Caenorhabditis elegans: one gene and its partners. The protein of the gene in region 3 purifies or fractionates together with the protein of the main gene of each other region. This does not show direct contact. Each region holds a gene or a part of one and is shown on either strand. Other genes may lie near its edges. The genes, in order: aka-1, plp-1, car-1 and edc-3.

What was found.
Region 1: the proteins of car-1 (region 3) and aka-1 purify together in Caenorhabditis elegans (affinity purification with mass spectrometry, with the first as the bait; one large-scale study listed by BioGRID). This does not show direct contact.
Region 2: the proteins of car-1 (region 3) and plp-1 purify together in Caenorhabditis elegans (affinity purification with mass spectrometry, with the first as the bait; one large-scale study listed by BioGRID). This does not show direct contact.
Region 4: the proteins of car-1 (region 3) and edc-3 purify together in Caenorhabditis elegans (affinity purification with mass spectrometry, with the first as the bait; one large-scale study listed by BioGRID). This does not show direct contact.

The regions. Positions count from the first base shown.
Region 1 is NC_003280.10:7,471,523-7,482,083, reverse strand, and holds aka-1 (FYVE-type domain-containing protein), read left to right. Parts: upstream 1-3,546; 5' UTR 3,547-3,551; coding exon 3,552-3,758; intron 3,759-3,809; coding exon 3,810-4,079; intron 4,080-4,128; coding exon 4,129-4,974; intron 4,975-5,023; coding exon 5,024-5,194; intron 5,195-5,238; coding exon 5,239-5,402; intron 5,403-5,447; coding exon 5,448-5,925; intron 5,926-5,970; coding exon 5,971-6,202; intron 6,203-6,253; coding exon 6,254-6,441; intron 6,442-7,251; coding exon 7,252-7,516; intron 7,517-7,571; coding exon 7,572-7,762; intron 7,763-7,808; coding exon 7,809-7,886; intron 7,887-7,934; coding exon 7,935-8,004; intron 8,005-8,051; coding exon 8,052-8,311; intron 8,312-8,361; coding exon 8,362-8,510; intron 8,511-8,555; coding exon 8,556-8,633; intron 8,634-8,683; coding exon 8,684-8,792; intron 8,793-8,837; coding exon 8,838-8,936; 3' UTR 8,937-9,355; downstream 9,356-10,561. Other genes in the region: cah-2 (Putative carbonic anhydrase-like protein 2), read left to right, coding at 1-97, 140-206, 558-712, 767-898, 946-1,035, 1,081-1,167; ubc-6 (UBC core domain-containing protein), read right to left, coding at 1,576-1,754, 1,802-2,139, 2,187-2,292, 2,345-2,429, 2,484-2,689, 2,779-2,809.
Region 2 is NC_003282.8:7,630,382-7,636,667, reverse strand, and holds plp-1 (Transcriptional activator plp-1), read right to left. Parts: upstream 3,309-6,286; 5' UTR 3,239-3,308; coding exon 3,101-3,238; intron 3,056-3,100; coding exon 2,939-3,055; intron 2,710-2,938; coding exon 2,389-2,709; intron 2,342-2,388; coding exon 2,237-2,341; 3' UTR 2,015-2,236; downstream 1-2,014. Other genes in the region: nep-16 (Peptidase M13 N-terminal domain-containing protein), read left to right, coding at 250-688, 732-875; warf-1 (ADP-ribosylation factor 1-like 1), read right to left, coding at 1,019-1,102, 1,208-1,405, 1,451-1,560, 1,608-1,755; F45E4.6 (EGF-like domain-containing protein), read left to right, coding at 4,140-4,233, 4,563-4,678, 4,722-4,792, 4,839-5,110, 5,310-5,427, 5,487-5,738, 5,786-5,897. UniProt on the Caenorhabditis elegans protein: Probable transcription activator. Binds telomeric DNA containing repeats of the sequence, 5'-TTAGGC-3'. Binds to end-1 promoter, activating end-1 expression, which is required for endoderm specification during embryonic development.
Region 3 is NC_003279.8:12,902,012-12,908,501, forward strand, and holds car-1 (Protein LSM14 homolog car-1), read left to right. Parts: upstream 1-2,458; 5' UTR 2,459-2,464; coding exon 2,465-2,710; intron 2,711-2,760; coding exon 2,761-2,950; intron 2,951-3,002; coding exon 3,003-3,446; intron 3,447-3,493; coding exon 3,494-3,636; 3' UTR 3,637-4,029; downstream 4,030-6,490. Other genes in the region: Protein pad-1, read left to right, coding at 221-331; coa-5 (Cytochrome c oxidase assembly factor 5), read right to left, coding at 1,148-1,438. UniProt on the Caenorhabditis elegans protein: Transcriptional regulator. Involved in modulating embryonic expression of ATP-dependent chaperone cdc-48.1. May play a role in mRNA gene silencing, and RNA granule (P-body) assembly.
Region 4 is NC_003279.8:8,598,694-8,606,664, forward strand, and holds edc-3 (DFDF domain-containing protein), read left to right. Parts: upstream 1-3,431; 5' UTR 3,432-3,460; coding exon 3,461-3,582; intron 3,583-3,627; coding exon 3,628-3,914; intron 3,915-4,034; coding exon 4,035-4,141; intron 4,142-4,188; coding exon 4,189-4,303; intron 4,304-4,352; coding exon 4,353-4,498; intron 4,499-4,543; coding exon 4,544-4,707; intron 4,708-4,753; coding exon 4,754-4,853; intron 4,854-4,900; coding exon 4,901-5,176; intron 5,177-5,581; coding exon 5,582-5,849; intron 5,850-5,895; coding exon 5,896-6,011; 3' UTR 6,012-6,469; downstream 6,470-7,971. Other genes in the region: ddx-52 (putative ATP-dependent RNA helicase DDX52), read left to right, coding at 1-166, 218-327, 376-580, 626-765, 812-966, 1,012-1,170, 1,220-1,786, 1,833-2,040; snrp-27 (U4/U6.U5 small nuclear ribonucleoprotein 27 kDa protein), read left to right, coding at 2,677-3,036, 3,105-3,212; F43G9.13 (Vesicle transport protein), read left to right, coding at 6,607-6,677, 6,847-6,949, 7,474-7,558, 7,605-7,684, 7,747-7,839.

The DNA of each region.
Region 1 (10,561 bases), on a different chromosome or scaffold from region 3:
AATTCAGCTACTAGCATATAATAGTGCACTTTATCCAAATTTCAGTGTTGCAATGACATCACCAAGAGGGCTTCTTGCAGTTTCTGTAATTGTTGATGTAAGTACTTATACTTTTTCTAAAGTCAAAATTTGTATTTAGATTGGAAAGACTACATCTGTGGAGTTACGAAGATTAACGGTTGCGTCACAGAGCATTAACTATAAAGGTGCGTGTTTTTTCAATGGTACAGAAAGTATATAATTGAAAATGAAAAACTCAAAATCTTCACTCAAAATACCGGATGACCGGTTTACAGTGTAAGATCCTTTTTGTTTGGCATCTGGAACATGGTGCAACCATATTTTTAGAGTTTGTTCTACATGAATACTATTTCAATCTTGGTGTGAAAAATATAACTGCTAAATTTGGAACGGAAAAAAAAAGACAAGGTGGTCTGGGACCCACTGGAAAAAACCTGTGCCTTTAGCATTGCCTTACCAAATTACGATAACAAGAAATATTTCATAAAATCAAACGGCATTTTCAAACTGCGTTAAAATTTAGATTCATTTTTCAGGCCAGACTACAAATCTCACTGATTTTCAACCATCTGCACTTTTACCAAAAACCTCTCACTATGTGACATACGAAGGATCTTTAACTTTTCCCGGATGTCATGAAACTGTCACTTGGGTTATTTTAAATAATCCAATTTATATAACCAATGATGATGTAAGTCATAAATGAATCTAATGCAAAGGGCTGAAATAAATTGAAACATTTCAGCTTCAAATTTGGAATGAAATGCAAAAAACAGAAACAAAACAACCAGAACCATCATATATGACTCCTGCATATCGTCCATTGAAATCGTTAAATGGCCGTCTCGTTAGAACAAATATAAATGTTGGATCAAAAGTGAGAAAACTTGGTCTTCCAAATCTTTAATATAGTTAATTGTTCAGCAGTCTACTGTATCTTCAAGTTGTCCATCGAATGTTTACGTGGAAATGGGGTACCAAGCGAATCCTGGTAGAAATAAGCGGAATGATTCGGTAAGATACACGTCGCAGATAAATTTTAATATTTTATTTCAACAGGTTTCTCGAAGATATGTTCCAACATCGGAAGTTTTCGAAATCGATAGCATTCGTCCTGATGATGTTTCCAAAGCCGGTTCATTTTAGTAAATTACTGTACATTCTCTACTCTTCTTTCACTTTGAAAAACTTCGCGTTCTTGCTCATTCTTTCTCCGAAAGATTTAACTATTGATCTGTGTATTTCTGTATTTAATGACACTTTGGAACTATAAAATACGGGTTCGATTTTAAATGAAGTGTTTGACTCTCTTTCTGTAGAATTTTGTGATATTTTTTGACTGAACAAATAGTTAAAACCAATTTTATGAATAAAAAAGAACTCAAGAAATAAGAATCACAAAGAAAGATACTCAAATATTTTGTGATAATTTCATTAGAATCTAAATACTAACTGAGAGGAGAGAGCCAAGAAATAACTGGCAAGTGATTGCACGAAGTTTGATTTTAGAAAATGGAAAAAGTACAACGGGATTGAATAATATTATACATGTATTTACAACTCGGAACCGTCTTTTGGTGAAGTTAGATTATCGACAAGGAAGCGACGAGCCAATAGTGTGAAGAAAATAGCGAAACACAAAGCGATAACTGGAATCTTGTATAGAAGGGTATAGTCAAAGTTTGTTGATGCCAAGCGGGGAGCGTGGTGTTGGAATACCAGAGGTTGTGGATCTGAAAATATAAATTATTTTCAAGACAAAATGTTTCAATTCAAGTACCTCGAATGGGTTGGACAGCAGGTTGTGCGACATCTGGTACTTCTGATGAATTGACATTAACAGTAGTACCTTCTTCTCTCTCATCTGCATCTTCTTCTGATTCTTCGACATTTTCTGTTGGGACCGAGCTTGTTTCTTCACTTGGCTCTGTTTCTGTCGGGTTCTTTTGATTGTTGGCTGCTTCAACTTCTTTTTTAACAACAGATTCATCTTGAAACTTGAGTTGGGCAGCAAGAGTTTTCGCTTCTTCGGTTTGTTTTAATTGTCCATCTTCAGTTATCGGAAGAAGCGCAGTTTTCATGACACATCCGCATTCTTTACATTTCCACTCACAGCTCCTATAAATACGCTACTTGATTAAAAACAAATAAAAAATGAGACTCACAATTTGGCTAAACGCTGGCGCTCTTTGGGAGGATAATCCAAACTACCAAGCGCGCCTCCTGGGGTACTTGGCAGGAATCCAATCAACGCGAGAAGAGCTGTACGAACTGCAAAATGTATTAAAAAGTCTTAAAATGAATAGACCATTGTAAAACTTACTGCTCCAAGATGGTAGCCACGTTTCTGGGTGATATCCCGAAATCGAAAGGCATACTTTCTTATTTAGCTCAAATCGTCCATTAGGCTGTAATGAAAAATTGTGTAGACTATGTAATTGCAAGGAATAAACTGAACATACCGTAAGAAGTATCAAATTTGGCGGTTTCATCGGGTAATCTGCTGGAAATATAATTCTACCATGATAAATTCCGCCTTCAAAGTCAGTCCCGAGAGTACCACGAATCGTGAAGTGCCATTCAAAAAGATTGTCTTCCATTGGTTGTGCATGATACATTTCCGTTGGCTGTCGCAGTTCCATGGCTTCCTTCATGAGCCTCCGCACACCTGTAACGGAAAACATTTTAATCGGTTTATCAGAACTTTTGTTTAAAACAAACTCGTTTGTTTTAGTTGCTAAATTTGAAAAGACTCACCGGCATTTTTAGTGTTGTACTGCTCACTCATTTTATTCTCTAAATTCTCGTACTTTCAGTCAAATGACAATAAATGAAGACGGAAATGAGAAAAAAACTGGAAAACCGAAACCAACGTCAGCGAGACCCGAAGAACTCGGGGGATGTCCAATTGGGGGTATTACCAACTCGGGGGATTGGCCCCGCCCACAGAACCGTGGCTTGCAATACGCCCATTTCTGCAACTGCCGCACGGTTTTAAAATCATTTTTTTCTTGTTAATTCTCGCTCTATTGAGAAAAATACAGTTTTAAAACCGTGCGGCAGTTGCAGAAATGGGCGTATTGCAAGCCACGGTTCTGTGGGCGGGCCAATCCCCCGAGTTGGTAATCCCCCCAGTTGGACATCCCCCGAGTTCTTCGGGTCTCACGTCAGCTGAAAAGAATGTTCACCGTCACGTCAAATTGCACACATTCTTTTTAGAAGACACCGTCACGCCAAATTGCGGACAACCGACCACTTGATCGCATTTTCTTTTCTCTCTTGTTGACAAGACTTCCGCGTCGTAAAAGTAGTCTTTACACGATTTTCTGTCCGTTTTTAATTCTGAAGAAATTCCTAAAACGCTATCCTTGCTTAAATCATATTTCTAAAACGCTGGATATTGATTTTCTCTTCGCAAAAACATTTTCCTCCGCATGAACTTTCATACGACAATTTTTTCGGTTTCATAATGATTTTAACATTGACTTGAATATCCGTGTTATTTTTTCAATAATATTCTTGCAGTCACAATGGAGGAAGTACCTGACATGGACGACCTTCTCGACGAAATGGAGTCAGACTTGGTCAAGAAATGTTGCAGTGTTCAATCAAAACCTCTCTTGCCACCAACATCGATAGGAATGCAACCACGTGGCATAAAACACAATCCGGCTCCAAGAACTGTCGTAACCGTTTCAAAATTTGTGATTAGTGAGGATATGAATGAACAGATGGAAGTAAGATCTCCCTGCACTTGTTTTATCTTACAATTACACATTTGTTTCCAGGGCAACATCAATATTGACACTTCACAGCTTCCAAACACATTTCAAACTAAATCAAGTTTTCCGCCTAATTCAGATGAAAGAAATATAGGAAAAGAGAATGAAGTTTCGGCACGTCAAGAAATTGCTCACAAGCTCAAATCTGTTCATAATTATTCCGACGCGACAAATTTCGATCCTTCCAAAAAAGTCATAACACAAAAATTTTCTCAAGAATCAGAACCAGAGTCTGAGCCAGAACCAGAACCTGAAGAAGTATCAGAAGTAGAAGAGGTATGTAATTTATTATAAACGGAAATAAATTATAAATATAATTTTTCAGGATACTCTTGTTCCGGAAACACAAATTATTTCAAATCTCAACGCCACTGCAAGAGACACGGAGCCTACTGCCACAATATCAAAACCAAATCTCGATTTAGATACCGAAATGGAAGATATGCTGGCATACCTAAATGACGAGAGCGTCGATAAGTCGAGTTTGAAAGATAAACCTGCGAGAGAGGAAGGAGGACGTGATTCCATCGAAGAGTCAGCAAATGAATCAGCACTTTATCAATTTGCTGATCGTTTCTCCGAACTGGTAATTTCCGAGGCTTTGAATCATCGGAAAATGCATTATGATCCTGCTGTTAAAGAATTTTACGAAGCAAATGATTCAGTGCCCGATGTATTTGCAATGAGTCTCGATAGTACTCATTCTTCTCTTAATTCTTTCAACGCAGATAATCACAATTATCTTTCTGAGCCGGAAAATTCTTCTAAGAAAGAACGAATGCAATCTGTAGCGGAAGAAAATGAAGCTAGTGAAGAACCGACACAAAGCTCTTCGGAAACAGAGAAGAACCTTCAAAACGAGAAAATCGATGTTGAATTTATTGAAAACTCTGAGGCGATTGTGCAAAATGAGTCAGAAGATGTTCCAGAGTCTAACTCAACCAGCGGAACTGTTCTTGAGAATATCGAAGACCATTTAGAATCTGATGTTGTAATCGAGAATGGTTCTGAATCTTCTTTTGTGAATGAGAAAATGAATGAAGCCTCGACTGCACATTTAGTTGCTGAGCAATCAGTCGTAGATGATTCGGAGATTCACTTGGAAACTGAAGATCAGGAAACATTGTCACCAGAAACTGCCGACTCATCAACAAATAAAAATTCAGATGAAGTTAGTCAAGAGTGTTTATTAAGTAGATTTAATTAATTACTTTTTACAGTTTCCCGATGAAGGTTCTCAATCAGAAGCATCAGTAAACAACGAAGAAGTGTTAGAAAATGTTGAACATGTTGAAGATGAATGCACAGTAGTAGATGCTGTCAATGAAAACACGGATTCCTCAATCGAGGAGAACGACGAGGAAAATACTGAGAATCGTCCACGCTTTGATGTTTGTACACAAATATACATCCAGAATAATTTCAATTGTTTCAGTCTTCCATAGCCACCATTCACGTTCTTCACGAGTCTGACTCAGACGAATCAGCAACGCCACGAAGAGAAAGGAGACTCACCGAATCAGAATTACAACTCGGAAAAACATCACCGTATTGGATTCCAGATTCTGAATGCCCAAATTGTATGCTGTGCAATACAAGGCAATAATTTATTAGGAATAGGCCTCTAGTTTGTATTTTTTTCAGGTTCACAATTATTACTAGACGCCATCACTGTCGTGCATGCGGACGCGTTCTCTGTGGTTCTTGTTGCAACGAAAAAGCTTTCCTGGAATATCTTCAAGAAGAAGGCAAAAAGCTGCAAGCTGTGCGAGTATGTAAACCATGTTCTGCAATGCTTGCCAGAATTGAAACCCATGAGCAAGATGAACAGAGACGGAGAGAATCAATCGCTTCTGAAAATGGGTTGAGTGGAGATGAAACGATCAGTTCTATTCCAGCTGCTTCCACCTCAATTCCTCGCGGTGTACTGAAAACCAAACCGACGGTACATGTTAATGAAGAAGATGGTGCATCAACAAGTAGTCAAGCTCACTCGACATCGGGAAATGTGTCAGATTCTTCAAGAAGATCGGTAATGTTTAGGGATGGAGTCCGTCCAGGTGCACCTGCCGATGAAGGAAATCCAGAAGAAGAACGATCAACTGCACTTAAACCAAAAAAGGTTTGTGAATTATGTTAGATTATGCCAATGAACGAATGGTTTTAGAAGTCAAGGAAACGGACATCAGTAGTCAGAAGAATAGCAGAATTACGGATGGAGGATGAACTGGCTTGTGCACTTCCGAAAGAAGGAATAACTAAATTATTAATTGTGAAACCTGATTGTGAACATCCGAAATTCGAAGACGCATCCACTGTTCTTGAAACACTTTGCAATTTTTCCGTCGTCACTGTCGTTCTCAAAAAAAATTTGAATTGCACTGTACAAATTTTTAACAGTAAGAATACATTTTAATGTTTTTTTTTGCAAATAAGGTTTATTTTTCCAGATCCTAACTTCGGTCTCGTCTGGGCTGTATCAACGCAAGGTTTCGCTCAAATTGGACTCGACGAATTGATGTTTTCATGGACTTTGAACGATCAAGAAAAACAAAAAGTTGATGCAGAAGAACCCGAACTTGATGAAAAATCTGCATTGGTAGTTTTACCTCTCCCAGTTCTACATCGTATATCATTGGTGAGTATTATTATTTGCATGATCTAAATTTCGAAAACGAAAAAATAAAAAAATACGAAGCGGAAATGAAAAATTTTGTAAGATTGTAGCGTTATTTTGAAAAACCTAAGCTTCTTCATCAAAATTGCACCTGAGGCACCACGTTTTCAAGATCTGTTCAAAAACAAGATCTACGAAAACAAGATCCACCAAAACAAGATCTACATTTTCAAGATCTACCAAAACAAGATCTACGTTTTCAGGATCTGGCACCGTGCCAACTGCGGTTTTCTCTACGCGCGCGTACGCGTCGCGTGTTGCTAAGCGTAAATTCTAGAAGAAAATTTCAAAAAATATTCGTTTGAACGCTAAACAACACGCGACGCGTAACATCGGAGCATCGTTGTTTCGTTTTCTTCGAGAAAATCGCAGTTGGCACGGTGCCAGATCCTGAAAACGTAGATCTTGTTTTGGTAGATCTTGAAAATGTAGATCTTGTTTTGGTGGATCTTGTTTTCGTAGATCTTGTTTTTGAACAGATCTTGAAAACGTGGTGCCTCTTGCACCTTTTTTATAAATTCGAATGTAGTTTTGTGAAAGAAATATAAAATTTATCAGTTTTTGGGTTAATCAGAATTTTTTATCCCTTTCTAATGCGAAAAATAACTTTTTTACTGAAAAACAATTTTAATTTTTAAAAAAACTCTAAACGCTGCCTCAAAAAAGACGCTATATTTTTTATAAAAGTTAGCTAATTGGTTTAGGAATTAAAACCAGAATTAATCAACAAAAAATCACTATAAAATTAAAATAAATTCGCTTGCATTACAGATCTACACTCAATCCACCGAACATGAATACGCTGGTGTCAGAAAGGTTGAAAATCGTCTGATGCGTGTGCATTCTGTTACAGATCCAACTTATCCATTAACTAAACACATTATGTTTTTCCGGCCTACTGTACAAGTTGGTCTCAAGAATATGCGAATTCCCACAAATCCATTTCTGATTGCTTGTTTCCTGCACGATGATGAACTCAATTGGGCGACAGCTCTTCCTAATCGTTTATTGTATAAACTCGGCGAGAAGTTCAATGGTAAGTAACATTGATATTTTTGTTTATATAATTTTATAATTTTTAAAAATTTCAGTATTCCCAACACCGTTTGTCAATAGTATTGGCCGTGAATCTACATACAGCACTGATGTATCCGGAACTGTATTGAAGGTGTTCACTGACTTCCGGTCTTGGTCTTATAGAATGCGTCACATTTCTGGATGTACAGTCTCGTTGACAAATGATAAAACTGTAATCAGAATTCCAAAATCGGCAATTAAAGAGGTTTATTAGCAAAAGTTTGAAAAATATTTTAAAAAATTGTTTTCAGTTAAAAGATGTTCTAAACTTTAGTCGTTCAATGGTCGCTTGGAGTTGTGATTTGCATTGCGAAGATGATAGTGTACTTGTAAGAGGATTTTTATAATTTACTATCGGAATAATTTCATTGCTTAAGGTTTGTGAGGAAACTGACCCAGGGCTTTATTCGACTCAAGTGTTTGCCAAAAATATTGGACAAAGAGAATGTAAGTTTCTTACTAATAAGAAAAGTTCTTAAATTTCGTTTTTGTAGCTACAAGTGCATCATTTGTAATTCTCGATGGTGGATCGAAAGTCAGTTCACTTCAAGTAAATGTTGTTGAGGATGGTGTTGCTGTAAGACTTCAAAGCGAGCGATTGGAAACTATTTTAAATGCAATTAACGATGGAAACGATGCAGTTGAATCATCTAAAGATATGGAATTTCGTGTCGAGTTTGTCGAAGACGGTAACTGGATTTGTACAGACAGTGATTATTATCCAAAATCGCAGATAGACGGCCTCTATCTCATTGTAAGGATCTGGATCTCATGTTCAAATATTCATTCAATTCCAATTTTCAGAACAAATTTCAATATGGATTGTCTCTCGAAAGAGCTCTGACGCAAGTTCTACAAGTTCAGGGAATAAATGATTATGGAATCAGAATGTCACATGTTTATAATCTCGGTGATGGTAGACTTCAGCCTGAGGAAGAACCTAAAATTTATGGGTAATCAGTAATATTTTATTTTAAACTATGTTCTTCTATTTTCAGAATGATTGAAATTGCTGCGAGGGAATGCGTTGCAATGCTTGAGCCACATATTCAACATTTAATTTGTGCTGGTATTGGGTAAGAATTTTGAGACAAAAAACTTGTTCCGTGATTTCTGATATTTTCAGAAGCGTTTCTATTCGTTTATTCGTTTCGCCGTATGAGTTCGAGTACGATGTTTCGAAATGGCTCGGGTTAGAAGCCGAAAATGACAAATACAAGCAAAGTCTTGATCAGGTATATTTTTAATTTATGCTCAGACCAGAACCCATTGATTTTCAGCTTATTCCAATGTTGTACAATATGGTAGAGTATGTTCCAAATGGTTTTGAAGTCGAATTCGTACTCTCAATTGTGTCTACAAGAGCTCTTCCAATCTGAAACCTTTCGATCCAAATTGAAACATTTTTCTGTTGCCCATTTTCCTAAGAGATTTCCATATATTTCATTACAATGTGCAATCACCCACTTTTAACCTTTTTTTTGTAGAATGCATCCATTTTTACTAGTCTCTCTTTAGACATTCTCAACGCTTATTCGTGTATCCAAATCCTGTGATACTTATTCCATTTTTCTTGTAGTCCCCAAAACACTCCATCTCACTTCTAACACATTTTATACTAATCATGATCGATTTTCTTCTCGGAGGATTTTCAATTATTATTTGATTAGTCGCGGAGTTAACTTGTAATTTAAATCCTTCCGTTTCACCCCCTTGATTTCTCTTTCCGCATCCCATTAATTTTCAATGTTTTGCATAATGATGATTTATAGAAGAAGAAGCAGTTCTCCAATTGAAACCACCGTTTTGTTCATATACTCAAATGCATGCACATTCCAATTGGCATTGACCATCTTCCAAAAGGCAAAGCGAAGTAGAAACGACATATATGAAATAAGTGCTCAAGGCCGAAAATAAATAAATGTCACAACACAGTACAAATAACTCAATTTTTATTAACATTATGCGATTTCATATTTTTTCCGGCTTGGATCCATGATCAACTGCTTTGGACGTCTTCATGTTCGTGTTGGTCGAGCCACTGATCCAACACGCGGACTCGGGCAACGAGCAGTGATGGTGGACGACGACGTGTTGACCTAAATTGGAATCTTATGTAGATTAGATAAATACACTTGTTAGCGAAAGTTTGGTTTTTGTTTTGAGGGTATTGATCATAAAAAAGAATTTCTAAGTGTTTAAACGGAGTATCTGAGGCATGCAAAACTTACATCCAAAACTTGTGAGTCGATTGGTTCTTCCGAGATTGAAAGTTCCAATGACATAGGATTGTCTTGAAATCGTTTTCTGATTTTTACCACAGTTTGGTATCCAGGCGGCGGTCTAGGTATGATGTGAACACGCTCTTGAGACATTTCTACAATAATTATCTTACGATTATCACCATACCACACATTTCAATGAAGGTGGAGTATTACGGCAACACAAAACTCTGAGAATGCATATTCCACAACATATTTGACGCGCAAAATATCTTGTAGCGAAAACTACAGTAACTCTTCTAATGACTACTGTAGAGCTTGTGTCGATCTACGGGATCTCGATTTTTGAAATGAATTTTCTCATTTTTTTCTAAATTTTAATACTCTATTGATAAATCAATGATCAGTAAAAAATTTGTTTTAATTTATATTTCAAAAACTAGCCAGTAAATCGACACTACAGTAGTCTTTTAACGAATTACTGTAGTTTTCGCTACTAGATATTTTGCGCGTCAAATGTGTTGCGGAATACGTATTCTCATAGCATAATAGCGCCAATGGGTATCTCACGTTAATATATGAATGCTCAAATACTGTTGAGGCCGTGTAGAATGTATGTAGTCGGTGTCGATCACGTCTCCAGTACCTCGCCCTCTCTCCCCGTGTGTCCCAGTAAATCATCTGAATTATGTGTAAGAACGGAATAAGACGAACAAGTGATTACTCAAAAACCTATTTATTATACAACCGCGCCCGTGTGGGTCACGCAGGACTCTAAATAG
Region 2 (6,286 bases), on a different chromosome or scaffold from region 3:
TAAAATAGGAAATGATAAATTCAGAAAATAGGTTGTAGGCTGTTACATAGGCAGGCAGGCAAACAGTACCATATAGCTATACATAAGAAGTTCATTACGTGTGTGCTGATTTATTTTAAGTGTATGGTTAAATCGTATAGGTACTGTAGCTAGCAGGAGATCTTAATTTCAAAAAACATGTTCATTCTGACAAACTAAATATCAAACTTCGCGAGGCGAACTTAAAATTCCTAATACAAGTACTTTTAGTGACGACACAACGACTTTCCCAATAAGTGATCCAACAATGCTTTATAATTCTAATGTTGGAGCAATAGTGATTCCACTTGCATTCATTGAACCTCCAATTTATTTACCTGGTGATGAAGTTCCTATGTATGGTATCTATTCAAGTCTTGGAATAACCACGCTTCAAATGATTTCAAAAGTTTTTTGGCAAGGCTTAGATAAAACGTCTCAACTGGAATGTCTTGACAACGTATTCCGTGGATTCCTGGATGCAAACCGACAGAGATCACCAAACATTGAACCTGAACTTTTAGCAACTATTGAATTAGCAGATGCATTTAAAAGTGCATTGTATTCTTATGCAAAATGGCAAAATGATCATCATATTCATCACGAGAAGACGCTTCCAGCATTCGATTCAACTGATAGTATGAGATCTCTAATGCTCACTTTTTCTACGGTACCATCTTTCAGTAATTCATTTTAAACCATCAATTTTTCAGATGTTCTGTAGCGGAGAAGGATCAGAACCTGGAAGTGACTACGAAGCAATGATCAATACAGTTGCTGAAAATTCTCGAATGTTTTCAATACATTTTAACTGTAACAATTCTAGTCGTCTTTACAACCGTCGAACTTGTTTATGATTGTTTTTTCAACCTGTGATTAATTATTTAACTCTAATTATCTTTTCCTTAATTCAAACTTCCACAAGAATTCAGTTATGAATAACACTTTTCAATATTTTATTCAATTTCTTATGAAAAGAAATGAAATCATTTAGCAATCCTTATGTCTTCATCTGCTTCTTGACCCACATCAGACCTTCGTAGAGACCTTGTCCAGAGTGAGCGTTTGTACCACAGATGAACCACTGAAAAGCCAATTGTATTATCATAATGTCACAAGATTTTGGCATTCCTTTTAGGTATATATATCCTATAGATTATAAGGTCTACAAAACAATACAACTATATACCTCTCTATTCTTGAGTGAACCCAAATCAAGCAGCTGAGTCAGCTCGGCTGGTGATCTTGCATTCGGCATATCCTGCTTGTTTGCAAAGACAAGCAAATGAGAATCCGCAAGCTCTGGCTCGGCCAGCAAACTGAACAATTCCTCCTTTGCCTCGGGAATCCGCTCAATATCCGAACTGTCCACCACAAACACTAATGTCTGAAATTAAACAATTTTCGTTGTATAATTCCTCTTGATAATTACTGTGGTATTTGGAAAGTAGTATTTCCAGAGAGCACGAATTTTCTTCTGACCTCCAACATCCCAAACAGTGAGAGTGATTTTTTGGAAGGTAACAGTCTCCACGTTGAATCCTTCAAACAAATACTCAAGTATGACCACATTTAAAAAGTGAACAAACCAATGGTTGGAATTGTATTGACTGTCTCATTAAGCTTCAGCTTATAGAGAATAGTCGTTTTCCCGGCTCCATCTAAACCGAGCATCAATGTACGACATTCGATATTTGGAAACATGAAGGAAGAAATTTTAGAGAAGAATAAGCCCATTTTGAACGAAAAAGACTTTTTGAAAATGCAGAATACGATATTCTTGAAGCTATGTCGACAATCAGAGTTATTTTATCCATCTCCATGGCTCCACGTTCCAGCTAGTGAGTTGGCCGTTTTTTGCGTGTTTTAATTTCTGTTGGAAGAAAGTTATTACGAAATATTTGTTCACTTAGTCAGACCCGCCCTTTTCTGGTTTCGCAACAGGTGTTCGATAAGGAAACGTAACTTTCCCTGGCAAGAATAATTAAGACACGAATTTCCCGAGAATTTATTAGAGTTCAATAAACTTGATGCTTAAATAAATAAATAAACGAAACAGGTAGAGTGAAAATACAGGAACACAGCAGTTTAGAAAAATAGGTAAAATCTTTACATGCAAATGCAGTAAAGATTTGGAGGGATTTTTTGGGAGACTCTCGAGTTCGATAGATGTTATGCAATTACGATTGTTTTTTTTGCAGAGAAAACTTGTAGATCACTACTTTCCTTGGTTGGCGATGATGTTATCCAACTCTTTGCGGAAATCGACGAGTGCGGACATTGGAACGGTGATTGCGTTACGATAGCCGCTGTTGAGTTTGATCTGAATATAAAATTAGAATAAACTTCTATTTGACACAAAATTATTACTTCCGAGATGCGAACAAACTCTCCACGATCGTTCTTTCCGGAATGGAAAAGGAACGATTTGTTTTCAGCAGTGATTTTTGGAGTGTTGGTGTTCTCCTGTTCGTGTCCCTCTCCGAACTTGGCCAAATATTCGGTTAGCACCTTATGAATTTCGGCGATTCCATCGGATGGAATGGCGATTTGTTGGCGAGTTTGACGTGGGTTCATCGGCATCTGAGCAATGCGCAAAAAGCGACCACGAACATTTTCCTTCAGATCGACGTAGAATTTTCTCCCGTCGACATTGAGAGTCTCTGATTTGATGAGAGAGCTTTCCTTTGGCTGAAATTTAATATTGCATTAAAAAAGTTTTTAATATATTTTTTTTTAATTTTTATATTAAATATCAATAAAATTATGGGCATTGAAGCAGGTATATTCAATTTAGAAATCCACTTTTGTTTTCACTAAAAAGTTCATCAGCTTTTCAATTGAAAAAAATCAGAAAGAACATTTTTGCCTAGAGCGTGTATAAATTGTTACGCCACTTCTTTAAATAATTGCAACTTACAGCGTGTTCACCAGTTGATGGTTCATCAATGAGGGCAAGCATCTTCGAAATCTCACTCACGATTGCCTTGGCAGCGACGATGCTTAGAATAATACGGCTCTTGTAATTTGTACCCAACTGAAAAATGCTAATATTAGTACGGGAAGTTAGTTTCGAAGCAACCTCAGCAATCTTGATGTAACGTCCACGAGTGTTCTCATTGACATCGATGTAGTATCGCTTGTATTGAACAGTGAGCTGGTGAGTAGCCAGAGAATCCTCGGCACGCTTGGTTCCCCTTTCAACACTTCCGTCCGACATCCTTTACCCAGACAATTTCCTTTCGAACAAACGACTATGGTGACAAAAGACACCCCTTGAACCAACTGGTCTGCAAATAAAAAATATTTGAATTAAAATAATAATAATTCCATTGAGAACAAAAAGAAAATTACATATTAGATAAAGTGTAGCCATAAAAAACGTTACTTAACATTCTAAAACATATTTGCATCATCTGACGAAACATTCTCAAGATAAAATTATCCACTGGACAAGGCCACTCGTACACGTTTGCGAACACAACAGCTGGTAAGAAATAAGAGCGCTTCTGGTTCGCATAAATCAAGGCAAAATCGATATTGAGCGAGAGCGAGGGGACACCGAGAGTGTGGGTCGCTACCCACTGAAATATATGCATCACTTTCACTGCTTTCGGAAGTTATAAATGGCTCTTTTTAAAATAGAATTGACAAAATAATTAGAAATCATTCCCGGTGACAGCAGGAAAGAGATCAAAAATTAGGATGAAGAAGTCACTGAAGAATCAAATCTTGTGACCTTGACAAGAAGACATGATGGCAGGAATAAATATAAATTGGTTCAACAGTATTTTTCATTATGTTAAGTTCAATTTTCATTGAAAATACATTATATAAAACGATAAAAACAAGATTTAGAAAGGAAAAAAAGCTAAAAACTCACAAGAAAATTTGATTGCTTACGAAAGTGTGCAAACACCGAGACGCAATTTCACACGGAAACAAATACGCGGCAAAATTCAGAAATTTGAACACTATTATTCAAAATATACGTTTAATAAATAAATAACCTTCTGAAACGTGGGAACATGAAACGTGTAACATATTTTTTTCATCAAAATGCATAATCGTCAAAAATCCGATCAATTTAATTTATTTCTCTATTTATCGGTGCAATTGAAATGAAGCTAACAAGGAAATTCACAATTCACTTGCAATTATTTATTTACGCAAATCTTGTCAACTGCTTTTCGATTGATTCACCGGAGAAAATAGGTAAAATTGCCATTTCGTGGACCAGGAATGTACATTTTGTCGTGAATAATCTGAATGACTGTTTAGAATGACGTTTCAGAAAACTGAAATTGCTGTATTGTAATTCCACAAGATTTTGGCATGACTTCTTAAAGGCGCACGGATTGATTCAGATTGGTCTCGGCGCGCAAAAGTGTATGATAGTATTCTTTTGTAATTTTTGCGCGCTGTGACCCATCTAAATAAATCCGTGCGCCTTCAAGAAGGCATGCCAAAATCTTGTGAAGTTATGTACGATATCACAATTTCTAAATTTATAATTTTCACTCATAAAATCAATAAGAATTCAGCTCTGGAACCTAATACGTTGATTGTGAGAGATACTCAAGAATACTGGGCACTTGGTTGGCCAACCTCCATATCATGTGATTCCAAATCAAAACTAGAAGATATAAATTCTGGAGAAGTAAGCATTTTAAAACATTTTTGATTTAAGATTGAAAATTTAGGGCCAAAAAATGTATTGGAAGATCAGATACCCAGATTCGAAAGGTGAAGAGACATTAGATCAAGACGACAAGTATGCAGCGCTGAGTTTTATGTTTTTTTAAATAATATAATTTTAGAGCAAATTATGATTATATGAATAACCTCCTACAAATCAAAAACGTGTCCCGAAATTTCAACAACACAGTATTTGAGTGTGTCATCGAACGGCCAGGAAATATCACAATGATCAGTAGACATCGAGTTCAAATTCAAGATTGCATTTTTCGTAGTCCACCGGATACAACAGCATACAACTTGCATAATCCGTGTGCTTATGGAAAGTGTATGGTTGAATGGGGAAGAGTGGAATGTCTCTGTTTCAGACAATACGGTGGAATTCATTGTGACGGTAAGTTAACTTACAAAGTTTCAGTTGTTAATGGAATTCAATTGTGTAAACGCGTGATTCATTTTTTGTGACAGTTCTAGACCGAGTTTGACCAAAAATATTAACTTGTTTTAGAAGTTAGCAAAGCTTGAGCACAAGTTTGGCGTGTCTTTGACACATACTACGATCAAGTTTAACCTTGATCCTCTTCTTTTTCCAGGTCCAAAATGGGGTAATTGGTACCTTAATCTTTTTCCATTTGTGCTAGCCAGCTTCGTTATCGGCTTGTTCATCATATTCTTTTGCATAACTTGTATTTACCAGGATGACAGGAAACAGTATGTTTAGATTTAGTAAATATTTTAAATTTTGAGTTGTTATTTGAAATTGTTTTCAGAGAAAAATTGATGGAAATATCACAAGTTGTTGGACACTCGGATCGTATCGATTTCACACTCTATGATTTGTACCCATTTGTCGGGAAACTTGGAGGTTGTATCTATACTGAAGCTGATGCAGTGGATGATAAGAAGTATGAACGAGTAAGAAAAACAATTACGGATTTCCTGCAACGAGGGGAAGACGAAGAAAAAGATGAACAAATCGGAGTTACAACAGTTGGAACTACGATGGAAATCCCTCCAAAAACGTATGTGCTAATTGTTTTAGTTCAATTCACACTTTGTTTATTTACAGCACAACTAGAACTACTACTACCACAGCGAAAACGACAACAAAAGCTTCAAAAAGTTCAAAAACAGTTGGTACAACAAAAAGGGCATCTGGCATGACAACTGTTGGAATGTAATATTCGGTGCATCAATTTTCTACAAGTTATTAAAATATAAATTCGTTTGGTTTATGTGAATTTATAAATAAAATTATTTTGAAAACTTAGTGTTGAAATATCTTTTTTCTTTCTGAGTGAGGTGAAGTGGAGAAAAATTATCTATTTATTTGCAAATATATTGTGAAGATAAGAAAAACGTTCTGTAGCCGTGCATCCGTCTAAGTTCGGCCTTTGTTTGCAAATTCATTATAAATCTTTCGATGTAAAAATCAACTGTAATTTTATTCTTATAGTTAGGCTTTGGATTTGAGAATATTACATCGTTTTTTTTTATTGGAAAGTGGTTATTTGAGTATTACATGCTTATATTATCTAGAGCGATTTTGAAGAAACAATCTATATGTATT
Region 3 (6,490 bases):
AATTCCGTGCGCCTTTAGGAAGAAAATTAAGGAAAAAGTGTTTTTTGTCGAAAAACTTGTCAAAAAACCGGAAAATTGAGGAATTTTGAGCTAGAAAATTATAAAATTCGCTGTAAAAAAATCAGAAGTTCCCATAGATTTTGAAATTTTTAAGAAAAAAAGCGATTTTTATCGCGATATATCGAAAAACTTGCCATTTTTTAACCCAAATTTTTTCCAGAACACACTCCGCGACGCTCACGCTCTCTCCGGAAGCCTTACCTACAAAAACGCCGTGGCCCGACTCGAATCGGCTCTCTACGTGGATTTTTCTGAACATTTGCAATTTTAAAAGTGTCTGTGGAAATGGAAATATCATTCTAATTATTGATTATTGCTTTAAAATTCCCCCGTTTTTCTCCTAATATCATTTTTTTTCGTGTACATATCTCGTGGAAATTGTGGAAATTCTCCATTTTCACCAATTTTCCGCTTCAAAAATCCCACCCTTTCCCCCTCCCCGCCTGTGATACAAAAATCGATTCATTTCTTTCTTTCCCCGGATTTCTTTTTTTTTGTTCCAGATTTTATTTATTCTTCCGCTGCTACTGGGTAGGCAACATTTTTATTTCCAACTTTTTTCGACTTTTTTTTGTTCCAATTCCGAGTGTTTCCCTGATTATCGATCGAAATCCCCCAGATATACGATTTATTGCAATTTCTTTAATTTTTTCTGCGTTCCTTCTCTTCTCCCCGTCACTGCTTTCGTATTATTATTACTGTTCCTATACATGATGAAATAAATATACACGTTTGATTGGGTTCTTTGCTTCCTTTTTTGGAAGTTTTTAGAACAACTGGCAAGAAAATGGCGAAGAATGTGCGAAATTTCGGATTCAAGTGGGCGAAAATTCGAAAATTTCGAATTTTTTGACAAAAGTCGAGAGTTCCGGAGTCATATGGCAGCCAATTAGGCGAAAAGTTCAATATTTTGCGGGAAATTCCCAAAAGCCGAATCCACAGGCCCAGCTTAGCGATACGATGATAATTCTCAAGTTTTTAACACATTCTTCCTGGAAAATAGATTTATACACGTATTATATTATAGAGAAAGCTGAAATCCTAAAAAGAAAGTAACAAAAAATATGAAAATTTTCGAATTATTCGCTCAAAGATCGCCCTTCCTTCCTCGGAATCTCGATCTCATGTCCACCAGTGATCGCTTGCAGTCGGTGAAATTTTGGAGAACGGCGAAACATTTGTCGGGTACACTTCCGTCGCCACGTGCATCGATGCATTCCTTCGCAGATCGAGCTTGAACTTGCACACAATGCGAGTTTTTGATGCATTTTTTGAGTGCTTGACGTAGACGATCACACGATACACCGGTCTTCTTTATCTCGTTGAATTCGTCTTCTTCAAATTGTTGGGATTGGGAGTGTGCGGTGATTCCGGCCATTTTTCGCGGGAGTTTGCCTGAAAAATCGAATAAAAATTGATTTTAGAAGATATAACTAGTTTTAAACAATAAAATTTAAGTAAATTTCAGTCTTTTTCACAATTTTATCACAAAAAAACGAGAAAATTCAATAAATTCGCACAAAAATTGATTTTATTTCATTTAAATTTTGAAAAATAATTAGTGTCGATTTACGGAGTTGGCACGGTGCCAAGATTTGCAGAATCGTGGCGAGACCCACAAAAACCTATAGCAAAACATGCGCCTTTAAATGGGATTGGGGTGCAGCGCCATTTTAGGATTTTTGTTGTTTTCTTCGCAAAATTGTTGATTTTTCGTTATTTTTTTTGATTTTCTAGGGAAATTTTCAATGTTTTATTGCTAAAATAATTATTTTTGACGTGATGAACTTAAAGTTACAGCTTAGAATCATTAAATTTTGCGAATTTTGATAGAAACTTCCCATTTTTTGTGATTTTCAAGTTTGAGCTTACCTTTTATTTCTTCTGCCGATTTTTAGCTGTTTGAGAAGTTCAATTAGTGAGTTTTCGGTTCTTAATACTCAAAATTATTTTTACTGCAATGGTACGGCCGTGGCTGCGCAGTACCTCATAAAATAAGTGGGCAGACGGATGCAATCACGCTCCATCGGCGCAGAATCGATAACGATGACGGCTTCGCATTTTACTTTTAAACTTTTGCAGCTTTTCCCACTTCTTATAAGAAATTAGGGCTTTAAACTGTCAGTGTTATCCTTGTATATTATCGTTGATGTTCCTCTAAGACTTATTGACACCTCCGTATCGATTTTAGGCCAATTAGGTTAATTTCTAAGGTTTCTCGACACAATTGAGATCGCTTCGACATTTTTCGTAGTATTCCGCAAGATTTTGTTTTAGGATTGATAGAAGCGCACATTTACACGGTTTCAGTTGTTAATTTATTCTCCTATTCCCGACAATATTGCTCTTCGTCTTTCTTCAAACGTTGTGAAACTTAAATTATATTACATTTTTGCAGGTAATAATGTCGAATCAAACACCGTACATCGGAAGCAAGATTAGTCTGATCTCCAAGCTCGACATCCGTTACGAGGGAATCCTCTACACCGTCGACACCAACGACTCTACCATCGCGTTGGCCAAGGTTCGCTCGTTCGGAACCGAGAAGCGTCCAACTGCTAATCCGGTCGCCGCTCGTGATGATGTCTACGAGTACATCATCTTCAAGGCCAGCGACATCAAGGATTTGATCGTTTGTGATACTCCGAAGGCGAGTTGCCGGATAATCGAGCTTCATTGATCTAAATAATGTCTTTTCAGATGGCCAACATTGGAGGAGGGCTTCCATACGATCCAGCCATCATCTCTGTCTCCTCGAGATCAGCCCCAGCAAGTGACGGAGCTCCAGCTGCCTCTGCAGGTTCTTCCAGAGCCGGAACGCCATCCCGTAACAGTCCGTTAGGCCAAATCATCCAAAATCAACGTCCAGGACGTGGAGGTTATCAGCAAAGTCAGTTTTATTTTCTTTCAAATCAACTCTGGATTTATGATCATGTTTTCAGACTTCCAAGCTAACCGTGGATACAACAACTACCGCGGAGGATTCGCTGGCGGATACAACAACCAAAGAGGGCACAACAATTATGGAGTTCCTCGAGTTAATCACCGCGAAAAGCTGAAGTTCGAATCGGACTTTGACTTCGAGAAGGCCAATGAGAAGTTCCAAGAAGTTCTCGTCGACAACCTTGAGAAGCTCAACATTGAGGATAAGGCCGAGCCAGAAGTTGAGGAGAAGAAGGATGCTGCCTTCTACGACAAGAAGACTTCATTCTTTGACAACATCAGCTGTGAATCACTGGAGAAAGCCGAAGGAAAGACTGGACGGCCAGATTGGAAGAAGGAGAGAGAAACGAATCAGGAGACGTTCGGACACAACGCAGTGCGTTCGTTGAACTACCGTCGTGGATTCGGAGGACGAGGACGTGGTGGAAACCGCGGATATGGAGGTATAGTTCCACTTTAGAAGTTACAACGTCTTATGCTCAATTTTCAGGTTACAACAACGGATACCAGCATCAACACCAGCACCGTGGAGGATACAATGGAGGTTATCGTCAGAACAACGGTGGATACCGTCGTGGTGGATATGCTCCACGTGACAACCAAGGCAATACTGCCGCAGCTGCCGAACAATAAGTTCGAATTCCCTGAAATTGTTTTCTCCCCACATCCCCATACCCCGATATTAGCCGTTTGTTAATTTATTATGTAAGTTTATCCATTCTCCCCCCCCCCCCATCAATGATTACCCTTGTCTCTTCTCAACTATTGGCGTGTTATAAGAAACCCGTTAATTATTTAGAAATCTCGTACGATTCAATGCGGGCCTTCTGTTATTTTGTAATAATTATTGCGCACCCACCCACCGACACACATCTCCCATCCAAAAAATTCCCAATGTTTTTTCTTCCCCCACTACAATAGTGATTGGACCCTTCCCCCGTTTTTTTAAGTTCTAGCTTGTGAATTTTAAAGCATGTCGTTCTGTTGTCCTCAGTTTGTCATTTTAATAAAATTGCAGTGACTAAACTGTCAAATCGTTTGCACCTGCTCTCCTATCATCCCACACCCCGCCTTTTATGATTGTCTTCTAGGAGATATGAAATTGTTTTTAAGATCTTCTCTTAGATTTGCTATAATATTGCAAACCCTTCATTCTTAGGTAGACAAGCCCTGAGAAATTGTGATTTCCCCGTATAAACTTTTTGTTTTGTATCATTGCTTCGATGTTTTCTTTCTACAACTTGGAAGCCAGTTGGACATGTAAGGTGTCAAAAAATATTGGTATAAGTTTGCTGTAATTTCAAAAAGTTCGATAGTTGTTCTGGCGACTAAATACGTAAAGAATAGCTAACAAATGTTACTTTATAAAAACTATTCAGCGAAACTGATTGAAGTGAACACATTAAAGAAATAAATTAAACATTAAAAGAGAAAATACATAATAAAATTATTCCTTGGTGATCTCGAACTTCCAGGGGCTAAAGTCGATTTTGACGCTATGCCCTTTGAAGAGACAGCGAATAGTTCCCTTAACTCCTCCATCTCGGGAAATTTCGAATCCAGAGGCATTCGGATCGAAAACTCTCGCAGCGTCCAAACTCATACCCATGCAGAATTCCCATTTTTTGAAATTTGTGGACTTCATGAGGCACTGAAAAGTTATTTGAACTAGTTACAAGCAGTGTAGGTGGAATAACTTACATTTTTGATTTCAACAGCCTTTCCAACAGTAACCAATTTGGCATAGCGATGATAATTCCATAAATAGCCAAACGTCGACGGTATTCCAGGAGCACATTGATCACGGATTTTGATATTTTCAAATTGCTCAAACTTTTTGAACGGATTTTTGAAAAAAAGTTAGGAAATTTCAACCGATTTTGCCATTTTCCATTGATCCAATTTATACATTTCCTTCATTGTTTCTGCATTAAATGAATCTGACCAGAGAAATTCCAATTTTCCTGGCTTGAAATGACGGAGAATCGATGGAGTTTGACGAGAGTTGAGACCGAACAAATGAATCTTTTTTAAATTTGGATAGGCCGATTGTTTTAGAATTCTTTCGATTAGTTTGCAGCAGTATTTGGAGAAGTCTTCATAAGGCGCACAAGATTCGCCGAGATAAATTTGGAAAATCTCCAACTTCGCTTTCGGGTGACTCACTCATCATCTTCGTCACGAACTTCATAACAACTTCCAATGAATCTTCTCCATTACCGAACTTCCATTTAAGCATCTTTCGAGGGTTGAATTTTGAATAATGAGTGGCATTGCCGGATTCCTTCACAAAATAGAACAGGTTCGAGTCAAACTCGACATCAAACGCTTCCGGTTCATAAATACAAATGCGGATCTTCTTGAATCCGGGATCCATCCCATCGACCGCATTTTTGAACTTTCGGCACACTTTTCGAAGCGGCATTCTGAAATAAGAAAGGCATTTGGATAATTATTTGTAATTTAGGTATTTATTGCATAGGATTCTGCTTTGATCTGCTAAACTATAAAATCAAAATGTTATTACCTCTCCAGATAATCCAATTGTTTGAAACATTCGTAGAGGGCATCCATTGGCAGATCGGTAAATGTCAGTTTTGATTTCGATCTGGAAAATTATGAGATTGAATATGTAGACGAATTTCAGATTGAAAACTCACAATTTCATGGAATCCAATTTGTCCGAAATTCCGCCTATTTCCACACTTTTCGACAAGCCACTTTCATTTGGGTCGGCCATTTTGAAGAATTACCTGAATATTGATTTTGATGAATTTGAAACAAACAGCAGCACTATAGAAAAAATTCGAAAAGGAAGACCGAAACGATTAAAAAAAAGTAATTCGAACTGGAACTGGACACGTGGCATGACAACGTGTTCATTCTACGTGTAGGGTCACTACGGTAGTTCTCAATGTACGCAAGTTGCGCACAATGCGCTCCATATGACGCGCAATATAATTTGTTTGTATTTATTGAAATTCACTTAAAAATTTCAGTTTTCTGGTTTAACATTGAAAAGTAATGAAAATTCAACGAAATATTTAATTTTAAAATTACAAAAAGTTGAAAAAAAACTGATTTTCATCTATTTTTCTGCGATGATTAATAAGTTATTTTAGTATTAACAAAATTATTTATTTGTTCAATAAAATGTAATCCATAAAACGAAAAAAAGTAAGGGCATACACATAAACCTCCATCAACACACACCATATTTTACGATAAAGCATAATATTTAATGAGACAATTAATTAATGCAATAAGGACACAATTTAGTATTGTCAGCTCAAAAGAGATTGCTTTCCCACGGACAATCAGAAATTGGTTCCTTGCGAATCTCAAATTTAGACTCTTCGATATTGACTTTGAAGTTGTTTCCATGGAAGTTACAGTGAAATTTTCCCCGAATTGCATCTTCTGTGAACACTCTGCGCTCCACCAAATTTGGATCGAAGACTCTGATAACGTCGATATTCTTAATAGG
Region 4 (7,971 bases), 4.3 Mb from region 3:
AAAAGATCACAACCGAAAAAGAAAGATGCCGATGATCTTAACAAAAAGAAAGAACTATCAACGATCACAGAAGAATCGCTTCGGAGATATGACGAACTTCGTGAAAAAATGATCGGAAAAGTCGAGTCAAAAATTGAGAAAAAAGTGAAGAAAAATAAAAAGAAAGGTTAATATTGTCTATTTAGTATAATACTTATAAACCATTTGTAATATTCAGCGTCGATTGAAATTCTTGCATCACGAAAGAGAGTACATGATTCTGACGGAGATTCTGAAAATGAAGTGGAGGAGACCGTTGGCGACGTGGAAAAGAGAATGCAGAAATTGGTGAGATTTCTACAGAAATTTAATTTTTATTTGAAAAAAAATCTTCAGCTCGACGACATTCGCCGTACCAATCGAATTTTCACTTGGGGTGATCATCTTCCTAATATTATTCTACGATTCTCCGATTCCAGCATGTCACCATCATTGCTCAATCGTCTATCTGAGAATTCAATCCGTCAACCATCACCAATTCAAATGCAATCAATTCCATTTATGACTGAGAGAAGAAATGTTCTTGCTAGTGCTCCCACAGGTAAAGACTTGAAAAGAGAAAAACTTCCAATTCCGGCTGTTCCAGGATCAGGAAAAACGTTGGCGTTTGCTCTTCCAGTCATCGATGAGATTCTCGAATTAAAGCAACGTGCTGATTATTCATCCTCTAACTCTTCGAAGCTGTTGGCAGTGGTACTCGAACCGACAAGAGAACTAGCAGCACAGGTTCTACAGAATTTATAGAATCGTAATCAAATTTAACGATTTTCAGACTTACACCGAATTTTTGAAATATTGCGCCAATACTTCGATCTCAGCTGCCAACTTCAGTGGAGAAGAAACTGATATTCAGCATGCAGATATCCTCGTGTCAACTCCAAATCGTATCGTTTTTCATTTGGATAAAATTGATACGTCTTCATTAAGGTTTGCATTTGAACCATTCCCTAAAAACTTTGTTCATTTTTTCAGATGGCTTGTCGTTGATGAATCCGATCGTTTGTTCGAGGTTGTTGAAGGCCAGGACAAGTGCTTCCGTAACCAACTCGCTGCAATTTACAAGGCTTGTGATGCCAAATGCACACGTGTCGCATTCTTCAGTGCCACATTTTCACATGAAGTTGAAAAATGGTACGTTTTCGAAGATTTGTCATATCAAAATTCCATATCTAAATTCCAGGTGTAAGGAGAATATCGATGAAATTGGTATGGTATGTGTTGGTGAACGAAACTCGTCTAATACAAGTGTGAAGCAAAAGTTAACCTATTGTGGAACTGAAGATGGAAAGAAAATCGCTATTCGAAATTTGTTGCGAACTTCCTTCAAACCACCAGCTCTAGTTTTTGTACAAAGCAAGGATCGTGCCGTGCAACTGGTGAAATTACTGTCTGCAATTGATTCAAATCTAAAAGTTGATTCAATCAACAGTGGAAAAAGTGATAAGGAAAGGGATGAAACGATGGAAAGGTTCCGTCGAGGAGAGATATGGGTTCTCGTTTGTACTGAATTACTTGGAAGAGGTCTTGACTTGTCTGATGTTGGATTGGTTATCAATTATGATTTGCCAACTTCAATTGTTAGCTACATTCATCGTGTTGGAAGAACTGGTCGTGCTGGAAAGAGTGGTCATGCTGTCACATACTTCACAGATGCTGATATGAAGTATATTAAATCAATTGCAACTGTTATCCGTCAATCTGGTTTTGATGTGCCGGAGTATTTAATGGAAATGAAAAAAGTCTCGAGGTTTGAGGGTAATCCTATTGTTCTGAGTACTCAATTTTTAATTCAGAGATCGTAAAAAGGATATGCTCAAACATGCTCCAAAGCGTCACAAAATCGCCATTGTAAAAGAGCAGGTGATCAAGAAGAAGAAAATGTTAGCAAAGGCAGCCGCTGAGGAAAAAGCGAAGAATAAAACTGAAACACAGACAGCGGAGAAACCAGAGAAGAAAATCAAGAAAAAGAAGTTGATCAAGAAGAACAATAAGAATATATAAATGTTTTGCGAATTTTGCGCTCAATTGTTTTGTTGTTTCAGTTGAAAATTGTTAGGATTTTTTTGTTTTTTTGTTGTTTTGCTGTTTTTCGTTGTTGAAATAATCGAGTCCAATTTAAAAGTTTTACCATTATCTCCATTTTATCCAGAACATAGTGTTTTTAAGTTGATTATAATGTATTTTTCATTGAAACTATATTTTAATTCACGCCGAAGCTGTTATGATGTTCTGGACGAAACCGATTTTTTTTTTGAAACGGAGAAGAGAAAGCGCGCCCCACCGTACAAACGAAAATATCGACGATTTCAGCAAATTTCACAAGCATTCAGTTTTGTTTGGTTCTTGTCCAATAAATTTCTCGATTTCTTTTTTTTCTTGTCCAAAAAAAAACGTTTTATTGAAAAACAAACTAATTCTTTTTCCTTGTACTCGGCTTCTGGTTTAGAGCAGAAAACTCATTTAGAAATATAAAATTTTAATTATTTCATTTCTTACTCGTTATGATGACAATAAAGGAGAATTGAGTCGAATTTTCCGCGGAAAAATTCTTTATGACGACTTTTCTTTTCAAGCTTCGTAAATAGCTTTGCGTTTTACTTTCGTTACAAGTTTCGTTTATTTTTCAGTTCGCGAGCAATGGGACGTGACAGAAGTCGCAGTCGCGATAGGAAGAGACGATCCAGATCAAGATCAGTGGAAAGAAGGCGAGAACGAAGTAGAAGTCGTGAACGTCGAGATGCTCGCAAAAATCGCGACGAAAAAGAAAAGAGAAGCAGTCGAAGCAGAAGTCCGCGCGATAAACGAGATCGGCGGGAAAGAAGTCGATCACGGGATCGAAAAGAACGTGATCGTGAACGACAAAAAAAGGATCGTGAGCCAAAGAAACGAGAGAAACAAGAGGAGATCAGTCTAGAGTCGTTACAAAGTGGAGCAGACGATGAAGCGATGATGGCTGCAATGGGATTTGGTGGATTCGATACAACTAAAAATAAACAGGTATATATTTATTATCTTTGAATATTCTTCCACAAATTAAAATTTTTTAAAGATTTATAATTTTTCAGGTCAATGACAACGTGGATGGCTGCGTGAACATCAAGAAACCTCGCAGATACCGCCAATACATGAACCGAAAGGGAGGATTCAATCGTCCACTTGATTTTATGGGATAATTTATTTTTTTGCAATAATTATTGTTTTTCTTTTCAATTTGATCTCTTTCATTTAGAGAATAATTCTGTACCCAAATCATTTTTATTTCACCGGAACGTTATTTTTAAAATAAGAACTTTTAAATGTTTTGTTCTTATTTATATTTTTCCGAGGTTCTATTCCTTTTTTATCTTTTATCGCTCTACGGACGATTCCCCATTTATAATTTTAATTTTAAGGTTCCAATTCTTCTGATTTCAAATTAAAAATGGATGACAAACTCATTGGAAGCGTCATATCAACCGAAACTAAAGATGGAAATGTCTATCAAGGAAAGTTGACAACGTATGATACGAATAATGGGAATTTGACCATGGCGAATGTTATCAAGTACGATTTTCAATAAAATCTTTAATTAAATGTGTTTTTTTTCAGAAATGGACTTCCTCTTCATCGTTGCTTTACTCTCTCGTCGTCAGACATTAGTCGATTGAAAGTGATTAGAGGCGCTACCCAGTCAACTCAAAAATCCCAGCCCTTGCCAGTTCAAAATTCCTCAAATAGTGTAAATAAACAGAGACCTTTGAAGAAGTCTGCGGAATCTACTGTATCTTCCACTTCCACCGCATCTTCTTCAGCTTCTTCAGTACCGGATTCTTCTCGCAATCGTTCAGTTGCAGTTTCTCCTCAAAAATCGGCAAAGGGGCGATCACCGAAAAAATGTATGATTAAAAAACGTGTTTTATCTAACTTGAATACCTTATCTTAACCGAGAGTAAGTAAAAGTTGAAAAAAAAATACAAAAATTAAATATTTTTTGAAGGAGATATGTATTTTTCCAGTTGCGACAAATGTTGAAAAACTCTTTGAACATCACTCGACACCATCCAAGCTGACTCTTGCGAAGAAACAGAGCCGTCAATCACCAATGCACAATGGATTCTCTCATGTATGATAAATCTATGATATATTTCTTTTACCAATAACATATTTCAGACAGCTGAAGAAATTTCAGCAACACCACATTTCCAAAGTTTCGATCGCCAAGTTCCGAACCCAAAAGTTTTGAGCACAATCGCTTCGAATGGGGGAAGATGTTCGAAGAAGCAGGGTTAGAATTCTAATAATTTGAAAATCAAAATATAAGTTTCGATTTTCAGGACCGTCTGGAAATCCAGTTCTTGACGCTCTCAATCACTACAAGGGAATTGGTGGCCGAAACAAGAATGATCTCGCTGATCCAATCGATTTTGATTTGGATTCAGATTTTGATTTTGCGGAAAATTTGAAATTATTCGAGAAAGATGTGAGATTCTTCATGAAATTTTCTTGTTTTAAACAAATATTACAGGAGAATGATGACCAGTACTATGAGACAGTTGAAAAATTTAAATGCTCTCAAAATTTTGCTCACTACGAAAATATAATTGACGATGAGAATCGAGTGACCTCGTGGACAAATTTGAAGGCACGATCTGAACTTGTGAAGACAGGAACGACACCTCAGACATCTGAGTTAGTTATTTAATGAATATTATGAAAATAGTTGTAATAATTCTAGAAAGAACAACTTCCGAGTTACTGCTGTGAGTTTTGAGAAGTCGATTATTGGAGATCCAATTCCTGCAATAAGTTTGAATGAAAAGAAAGAATTTTTGAATGTGAGAGATTTCCAATAAATTAGTATATAAAATTGATGTTCTTTTAGGAATGTAGGGTTTCGTTAGGAGAAGCTGTCTACGACACAATCGTCGCCGATCGCATCTTCCAATGGGTCTCAGAAGTTCAAAATTCGTATGGTGATGCACATGGAACTGTAGTTCTTCTCGCATCTTCTGCAAACTCTGTTCGTTCCATTCGTCGTCTGCTCACCCATTTCGACAAGCGACGTTACAATTGTCATTTATTCGGAAAATATCCAGGAGAGATCTTTGATCATGTCAATGTGGTCACTGATGTAAAGATGCTTCCGAGAGAAGTTCCGGTCAGGATTTTAGATGTATTCGGAAATATTTATATTTTGTTGCAAGTATTAAAAAAACAAAAATTCTTGCAATAACATTAACAAAAAACCGAAAATTCAGAATTCTGATGATTTTTTAATCAAAAAAACTAAAGTTTTGCTGCAAAAGTCGTATCTTGCAAATTTTTGCGAAAAAAATCGTCGAAAAAACGAATGTTTTCGATTGTTAAAAAAAATCGAAAAAATAAAATTTTTACATCAAATGTTTGCCGATTTTGATGAGATCAAGAATACAATTTGTTGGAAAAATAGAGAAATGACCGAAAATTTTCGATTTCAATCAATTTTCCAAAAATATCGAATATCGAATAACATCCTTGTTCAAAAATTCTCACAAAAAAATAATTTTCAATGTAATATTTGCAGATAATCTGTATTCTCTCACCAGTCGTCAACGACGATGTTGAATGTTGGCTCCGTGCTCAAAGCAATGGAGCTTCTTCTCATTACGTATGCATTGAAAATGTTCCAAGTGTTCTCGAACCATCTCGATGCCATTTGCTTCAATTTGGATGTGCTACAAACGGACTTCGGCATGCGGAACGTAAGGTTCAAACGATAAATCGTGGAGGTATCACTTTTGAACATTTGTGCCAGGGTAAAATGCACGAGGAGACAAGTTCTATTCTTGTTGGTAAGGTTTACTTCTTCTACTCAATAAATTCAAAAAAAAATTCCAGATAGTGCCATTGCTGACCTCGGATCTCCATCGAATTGGTTCGACAACACATCTTCCAAATTCATTTCTACCGCATTCTCTACAACTTTCCTTGTCAGACTTTCACAATCCAATTAGTTTATTTAAAACCCTTTTCCTGTTGACATACACTTTTTTTATTCGCCCAACATGGTTCAGTATCATTTTGATTTTTCTCCAGCGATCCCTCTATAGTCTCAATCACAATGAATCGAGTGATTTTCTTTGTTCTCAAAATAGTAAAATTCTTCCATAAGATATCCCAAATCAAACCAAATCGTGTAGTTTAGCATTTGTTCTCTTTCTCTAAAAATCCCACAGTCGGCGTTACTTTATCACTCCAATATCATTTTTCTTCCCTTTGGCAAGTCGTTGGAATATATCGGTGGTTTCGTATTGTCCCGTTTGACTTGCACATTTCCATTCTAAGAACCAAAACTTTTTGAATTTTGAAATGTATCTTCCATTCCATATTCTTGCACAAATCTTATATTTTGATATACCTTATTGTCCCAACCACGTCTACTTTTAGCACCGAAAAATAAAATATTAGAGATCGAGAATTCATGTTTTCAATTTAAATTTACAAAAAGTTTTAATTCCTCCAAATTATCTCTTTTAATCTCTAATTTTTGAAATTATTATTCTGCTTTTCAGAATTTGAATTAAAAATAATGTAATCAAGAGTCTCAAGATGCCGGAAAATAAAGAAATAATTACGATTTTCGAGAATTCTAGAAATTATACAAATTTAACCAGTGAAAGGTGAGAAATTTTCTAAATTCTAAACTGAATACCGCATACCGTTAACAATGCAATGAAATTAATGTATAATGTGATTGTACATGCCCTTTTATTCTATCCATGAGCTCATTTTTGATTTTAAAATTCAAAAAATCTCCACAAGAAATACTTTAATGTTTTCTATTTCTAGCACTTATTCGTTGGCCGGTGCACTACTTCTTTCTGGAAAATATATGAATGATTGGTGGGAAATCACATTAAGCATATTTCTTTGGATGTCACTTTCTTTTATGGTAAGTTTTGGAAACATGAAATATTATTAAAATTTCTAATGTTCCAAAAATTCGAAGATTTGGCATTTTTGCATTTCCAGAAAAAAAATCTGTGTATTATATTTTTTTGGCAATATTATTAACACTTCTTTCAAAGTGGCTAGGATTACTCCAAACTCCGAGTCCCTACTTCTAAACACCTTTTAATTCACCAAAATGCCCTAACAAAAACTGACTTTATTACACAGACGAAAAATTGTTGGCAACAATACTGTACCCGGTCTCGATACGACACATTTTTAATAAATGCAAAAAGGTGTGTTCTGTAATTTAAAACTCCTGCCTACGGGTTTTTTAATTTAATTAATTTATTCCTTTGTAAAAAACAAAAATAAATAACGATAAAAACAGATGAACGCACACCATGCACTCAACAAGTATATTAGTCGTGTCGAAACTGGGGTCTGTATTCTTTGGCATAATTTGCTACGGGTAATATGACATATTTTATTCAGAAACTATTTTTTATGTTTCAATTGTTCCAGGTAATTAGTCTCGGAGCCACAATTCTTTCCCTTTTCACTCTTCGAAAACATCCATACGTTTGCTTTATTCCAATTCCATTTATCAGTAAGATTCTGAAAATCTTTTTTTTTTCATAATTTCAACTTTTCAGTAATGATGTTCATCATTCCTTTCGTTTTTGGTGCTCCTACGTCAATGGTTCTCGCACTGGCAATGTACGCTTCGAAAAATGTACGTTAAAAAAAATTTACTTTTCAAGAAGTTAAAAAGTTGAGGGAAAAAACATTTTTCAGGCTGTGAGCACTTGGTATTGTGCAATAATGGGTATCATTCAAACTCTTCTGATTTTCGTGACTTCTGTAACCCGAATCCACGCGACGCTGTAACTTATTGTGATTATGTAGAAACGATTGCTTTAATAAATTTTTTTAGTTTCTTTGTCTATAAAATCTCGAAAAGAAAAAACCATATAAAAATTTCCAGAAATGAACAGAAATAATGGGAATCGAAAGATGGTG